Linked DNA regions of Danio rerio. The protein of the gene in region 1 purifies or fractionates together with the protein of each later gene. This does not show direct contact. Links are inferred from orthologs where the notes say so. Each region holds a gene or a part of one and is shown in the gene's direction. Other genes may lie near its edges. The genes, in order: nap1l1 and h2ax.

What was found.
Region 2: the proteins of nap1l1 (region 1) and h2ax purify together in Homo sapiens (affinity purification with mass spectrometry; 3 studies listed by BioGRID and IntAct, counting the BioPlex papers as one, with this or other methods). This does not show direct contact. The link is inferred for Danio rerio from reciprocal best matches to the Homo sapiens genes NAP1L1 and H2AX.

The regions. Positions count from the first base shown.
Region 1 is NC_133179.1:2,689,664-2,693,498, reverse strand, and holds part of nap1l1 (nucleosome assembly protein 1-like 1), read left to right. Parts: intron 1-223; coding exon 224-369; intron 370-1,159; coding exon 1,160-1,179; intron 1,180-1,424; coding exon 1,425-1,547; intron 1,548-1,939; coding exon 1,940-1,972; intron 1,973-2,940; coding exon 2,941-2,991; intron 2,992-3,835. UniProt on the Homo sapiens protein: Histone chaperone that plays a role in the nuclear import of H2A-H2B and nucleosome assembly.
Region 2 is NC_133180.1:31,151,308-31,154,259, reverse strand, and holds h2ax (histone H2AX), read left to right. Parts: upstream 1-1,594; 5' UTR 1,595-1,637; coding exon 1,638-2,066; 3' UTR 2,067-2,211; downstream 2,212-2,952. UniProt on the Homo sapiens protein: Variant histone H2A which replaces conventional H2A in a subset of nucleosomes. Nucleosomes wrap and compact DNA into chromatin, limiting DNA accessibility to the cellular machineries which require DNA as a template.

The DNA.
Region 1 (3,835 bases):
TTATTTACTCTTCTGTTGGTTTGATCTAGAGCTTTGTGTATATAGTTCTAAATCTGAAATGTTCAATAAATAATAATTTCATGGGCCGTGGGCTAGTGATTCTGCCCTCGGTTGTAAATCCCGACATGCACATTTTCAATATTAATAATTTAGATAGTGCTCGGCAGTAGTTTTCACTGAGCTCTTCAGTATAGAGTCTGAGTTGAGTGATTTTGGGTTTCAGCTGCACGATCGACTGGACTAAAGGCAAGAACGTCACATTGAAAACCATCAAGAAGAAACAGAAGCACAAGGGTCGTGGCACAGTGAGGACGGTCACCAAGACGGTTCCCAACGATTCATTCTTCAACTTCTTCTCTCCGCCTGAAGGTACATCATTTTACATGCGTTGAAAATTTACAACCCGTTTACCTCACCCTCGATTCAAGAGGATTTTGATCTGTGAAGCATTAGATGTTAGTTTTTGTTGACTTTAGCTGGTTTATAGAATACATGTCAATGGCTGTAGGCACTTTCAAGACTTATTTTTTTTTTTGCACTACACTTAACACAAAACAGTGAGTTCTCGTATTACTGTGCCATGTTTTACTAATAGTACCATATATATTTTGTGGAGGTGTGGTGTCATGCATGTAAAAGTAATATAAAATCAATATACACTCTAGAGAAGAGCAGTAAATAAGTGCTGTTTATTACAGCTGTTGTTGATTTTAGTGCTGGGCAAATATTAATTGCACCCAAAACTAAAGTTTTTTTTTGACCGTACGTGTACTGTATATCTAAATGCACATGCATGCATATATTTAAATGAATGTTTGTTTATATTTAGTAATATTAAATGTACGTATTTTTATAGAAATCCATGCATGATGGATATATAACCACAATTTTTTTGGTGTAATTAGTTGTAATCTTTCCCCAGCACTAATTAATTTATGCTTTTAAAATGAGTAGATTTAGTTGATTTTATAAATTGCAGATAATCTGAAAGTTTAAGTTGCTTCCAAGTATAAAAAATAAGGATGTCAGTAATTCAGGATGAATGTTGTTAAAGCCAGTGCAAATACTAATGAAAAAATCATGTTTCCACTAATGTAGAGCTAATCTTTCGTATGAGTGTTTTTCCTTACTTGACTGTATTTATTTAATTTTTTTGCAGTTCCAGAAAGCGGTGAGCTGGTGAGTGGATCTTCCTACTTCTAAACTTAATATCCAAATGCGCAATAAAACAAACTGTTTAATTTTGACTTGGGGCTTAATTTAGTGTGAAATTGACCGTAAAATGAACTTGTATAATTAATTTCTTTGATTGCTTGTTTTGTGACATCAGCTTGCAGAAATCGAGATATGCTGGTGTATATAATGGTATTAAATGAGTGTCACACAGTAATATTAGGAGTGAAAGTTTGTTGATGCTGTTTCAGGATGAAGACTCAGAGGCAGTTTTAGCAGCAGATTTCGAGATCGGTCACTTCATCCGTGAGCGTATCGTTCCCAGAGCTGTGCTGTATTTCACTGGAGAGGCCATCGAAGATGACGATGATGACGTGAGTGAACAAGACCACATAAAACTGTTCATTCCTCTAACTAGACGACTAGTCAGTGTTTATACTGAGAGCACTTTGACGTACATTTTTGTACTTTAATAGCAGACGTGGAAAGAATTTACCTTATTTGTTAATCATCTAGTATTCATGTAAAAATTCTTATTGAATTGTGAAGTTGTATTCCCTTTGTTTATATTGATTAACCTAAACACAGTGTTAGTTTTTAAAGTGGTAAAGCCTTAATGTAATCTAGATGTATATAGAATATACTTTTTCTCTCCATGAAAATGGCCATAGGAGTAGGCATGGTGTTAAATGGAAAAAAAATAAGAAACCAAATGACCAAAAGTTGCCCAATATTCCTCAATCTGAACACTGTTTTTCTTTTTCAGTATGATGAGGAGGGAGAGGAAGCGGATGATGAGGTTGGTGTTTATTTTTTTCTATTTGCATATCATAACCGATTACACAATTACAGAACAATAATCATGAAGGCACAGCAAACTTTTTACCCCATTCTCCCTCCCAACAACCCATTCCCTTAAAAAAAAAAAAAAAAACTAAATAAATAAATAAAATATAAATAAATCAACAAATAAATATGATAAAAAAGGGGATGTTTAAATCAGGTAGAGAGTGTTTACTGAGTGTTTAATCCATGATACTTCCCATATTCCTAAGCTTGTTCTAGTTGTAGTAGACTGTCAACATTTACATTGTACTTTAGAAAGTTATTAAAAGGTCTCCAGATATCTTCAAACACACTTTGTTTCTTTTTGACAATGTATGTGATCTTCTCCATTGACATATGCCATTTCTTTAATCCTGTGTTTTTTTTTTTTATTACAATTTTTTTACTATTAATAATAAGTTAAACTTGCAATAAAAATGAATCCTTTTTAACACACGTCCAACATTGCCTTTAAATCTCCCTGTTAATTTTTTTTTTCTTCTGGAGTAATTCCTATAATCATGAATTATAGTGTCAAGCCTGAAATTATTTGTACTGTTCGCAAGTTTGACGGTGGGAAATGGCGTTGGCTCCTTCAAAAAGATCATAAAGAGATGTCCAATAGGCTTCATAGTGCCTAGAAAAACAATTTCTCTGCTTTTCTCTACATTTAAACAAAAACTAAGTCAGAATTAGCCAGCGTATGGATCATTTCTGGCTTGACAAATGTTTTAGGACATCTTTGATTAAATCTCATGATCCACTTCTAAATGGTGACTACTATATAACGTTAAATTATGTGGTCAATCTTATATTAGTCTTTCTTTTTGATTGGCTGCAGAACAAACCACTGTTCTCCCAGTGACTTGCCTATTTAACCTAGCATGCCTAATAAATCATAAGCCCTTTAATGAAACCAACTGATGTGTGTTTGTTTTGCAGGAGGGCGAAGAAGAGGCAGATGAGGAGAACGATCCAGACTATGAGCCCAAGGTAAGAGTCCAGACGTCCGTTAGAGCTGCTCATAAGTGTCTGATACTGAGATCTCAACATACAGAACTCAAACGGTCACCTCCACTCATCCAGACACACTCATCTCTCAACAATAGTGTGTAAACCGCTGTGCAAATAGTTAAGCGCACATATACACAGCCCAGATGGCCGTCTTTCCTGGTGTATCCACCTTTTTTTTTTTTTTAGACATGCTGATATTCAGTACAGTTTATAATAATGATTGAATATGCATAATGCTGTTATTGATCACTTTTAAAATAAGAATACAACACTATCTGTCTCTTAATAGTAATATTCTGTGTTGTATTGGCAGTGGTTCATCTCAGCACCAAATTGCACCAAAAACAGGCTAGTACTTCATTTAAGACGCTGAATGTTTAGTTTAATGGATATTCCTCCCATAATTGATGTAAAACATCATGTGCTGCAGGGCAAAGGTGGATGCACTGCCATCTCTGGTACACGCATTAGTGGAAGATTATCTATCTCTGCTGCAGTCAGTGGATGAATGAGCGCAGTGTTTGCGGAGCGAACATCTGTTAGTGCAGGAGCGCTCTGACCTTTAACCCTGCTTTATAAATACCACAATGCACTTCTGTGCTTATTTTGGGTTCTCGCCTCTAAAACTCCTCTGAAGCGGCTGTGTTTAATACACGCACTGCCCTACAAAGGTCAGTTTTTGATTTTTCACACTCATTCTGCCTTTTTTTTTTTTTCTCTGAATCTGTGCGTGTTGAGGACTCTGACTACTTACTCCGTCAGGTCAAAGGTCAGGATGGGAATCATAATGGATGCTTGTCCCCTGGCTTTACTGAGCATCTTT
Region 2 (2,952 bases), on another chromosome or scaffold:
CCACGTGAAACCTCAGGGGCTAATATAAAAGGTATAATAAGTTTCATCGCTTTATTTTTTTCAGAGATGGCTTTTTAAACCGAACAGGCGCTGCCCCAGTAACACACAACCGCGTTTATTTAAAGTGAGCTGCAATAAAGGTCTTTTGCACGTCAAATACATAAAGTAGATTTTATTAGTGGTAGCTTTTTATTGTAATACTAAGCAGGAGGCTTTGTTGTTTTCTGGTAATGTAAGGTCAAATATAGGAGTAGTTCATACTCAAACCTCCTACTCAACGTGGTCACCATTCATTTTCATTTGATGGATATAAAGATGCTGTGGTAACTGAAGCTGGTTATCTGCATTAAACTCTTCATGTTGCACGAAACAGGATTGAAACCCCCAATCAAATATCATTTTGATGAACTGTCCCTTTAAAGAATCTCTCGCAGTATCTTCCCTTTTTAAGATGTCTAATAGACGTCTAAACAGTCCTCATGGCTAAATAAAGGGCTGTCAGTGAAACTCCAGTAGACGTCTAAAATAGGCCAAAACTAGACTAGTCATCAAATAAACAGAAATTAATGACTACATATATAAAGTCTGTCTATCTGACGACTAGTGTAGTTTTGACTAATCCAAGCTGTTTATGTTTAGATGTCTATTAGACGCCTATTAAACTAAAAAATAGTCTGCTGGGGTTCCCCACCCATACGACTCAATGCAATTCTCAGACTTTTGTTTTTCATTCCAAATAACCTGAACTTATAATAAAGGCAAGGGTGTTCTAACCAAAATAATAGCTACAGGAAAGCATTTTAGCAATTATACAGTGAATTGCAGGTCACGAGTCAATGGCTCAGCGCTTTATAGTCATTTTGGAGCATAAAGCCTGAAAAATGTATGAGCAAAATGTTGTGATGACAGCGAACAATCTGAAGTGAAGGTGCTGCTGCTGGGCCTTCTGAGGTATTCGGAGCTTTATATTGTTGTTCATTTGATGTTTAATTTATTCTGAATAAATTATTTTTGAAAAACCATTCCTCCTTTCTTATTTCCCATTATTAATCAGCTAAAAGTGAATTTATCTAAAATGCACACTGAATCACTTTAGTGTCACATCACGACAAAGTGATTTAATTCATTGTGCATTTTAAAGAAATCGCATACAAATCACATTTTAAAGACATTTACATTGAGTGAATTAAATCTATAAAATATTACGTCACAATAAGTGTACATGAGAGGGTTAAACAAATGAAAAAATTGGTTTTGCGTCAAACTGTGTTAAAATTCAGAGGGAATATGTTCAATTGGTTTGAACTTACCGCCGAAATGTGATTGAGGTAAAGAAAGACCAATACTAGCGCAGACGAACCAAGCGAATCAATCAGCTCTCGCATATTCAGATACACTCTGATTGGTTCGTTACTTTGCGCTGTTTATGCACTGCAAGTTCAAGCCAATGGGGGATTACATCCGCTCTGGTTTCACCACCGACAACCAATCAGGTCTGTACTTCCCTTCGCGCAACCAATCAAATGTGTGGGCGGGACTATGCTTTGAACGTTCAACCAGTCTTTAAATACTGCAGCAGTTTCACTGCCAATGTACTGATTTCTTGCACACGCGAAGAGTTAAGTAAGCCATTCAACATGTCTGGAAGAGGTAAAACCGGAGGAAAAGCCCGCGCTAAGGCTAAGACTCGCAGCTCCCGCGCCGGTCTTCAGTTCCCCGTCGGCCGTGTTCACCGTCTCCTTCGTAAAGGCAACTATGCTGAGCGAGTGGGCGCCGGTGCCCCCGTGTATCTGGCCGCCGTGCTCGAGTACCTGACTGCTGAGATCCTCGAGTTGGCGGGAAACGCCGCAAGAGACAACAAGAAGACTCGTATCATCCCTCGCCATCTCCAGTTGGCCGTCCGTAACGACGAGGAGCTGAACAAACTGCTCGGCGGAGTGACCATCGCACAGGGCGGTGTTCTGCCCAACATCCAGGCCGTGCTCCTGCCCAAGAAGACTGGCCAGGCTGCAGCCAGCTCCGGCAAATCTGGAAAGAAGGGATCTTCCCAGTCACAAGAGTATTAAATGTTGAACTGAGCTAATTCATCCAAAGGCCCTTTTAAGGGCCACCCAACTCTTCTGAAAAGAGCAATTTCCATGTGTCTGAATGTGATATAGCTTGTATTTTTGAGATGCATGCTTTGCTTATTAAATTGTCATTTTTTAATAATGTTAATGTTGGTGTTTTTTGAACCGATTTAGGCTAACTGTTATCACAATTTAAGAATTTACGTTACTTCAGTGTTTATTTCTTAACGGTACATTTTTTTTTTCTCATAATTAATTTATACGAGTTAATTTGGAAAACGGAAACTAGGTTTTCATAAACACAAGGTAAGGCAAAGTAATTCTCTGGTCTTTTTCATAATGTAAAAAGTCTTTATGTATGAGTGAACGATAGTGTGAGTCTTGTTTTCCAGTGTCAGCAAAAAACCAAAGAACTCATCAGGGGGTTGTTGATATACTTTATTATTTATAACACATTTTTTAATTCATTCTCATGTTGATTTGACAACACAATGTTGCTGGCCAAGTAATTGCTATAGTATAGCTGGTCAATTTCACATTTGGAAGGCACTTTACAACTTGCTACATAAATATAAAATATTAACACGAACTTAGACAGCTAATTTTGCCAGTAAAAATCTTACATGGTGCTAAAACACCCATAAAATCTTAGCACCTCAGTACTTTGATTATTACATGAATATTCTTCCAGTGATAAAAGGAAATGTGGGATACTTTGACACATTTTTTTTTACTCCGTTTACGTAAAAGCTAAAGATGAAAAAAAGCTCTGATGTAAAAAGTAGACATCTGTTCACTTCCTTGTAATAATGAGGTTCAGAGACACTGTAAAGCATAGGTCTCAATTCCTGGATGGTTGCAGCTCGCAGTTTTGCTTCAACCC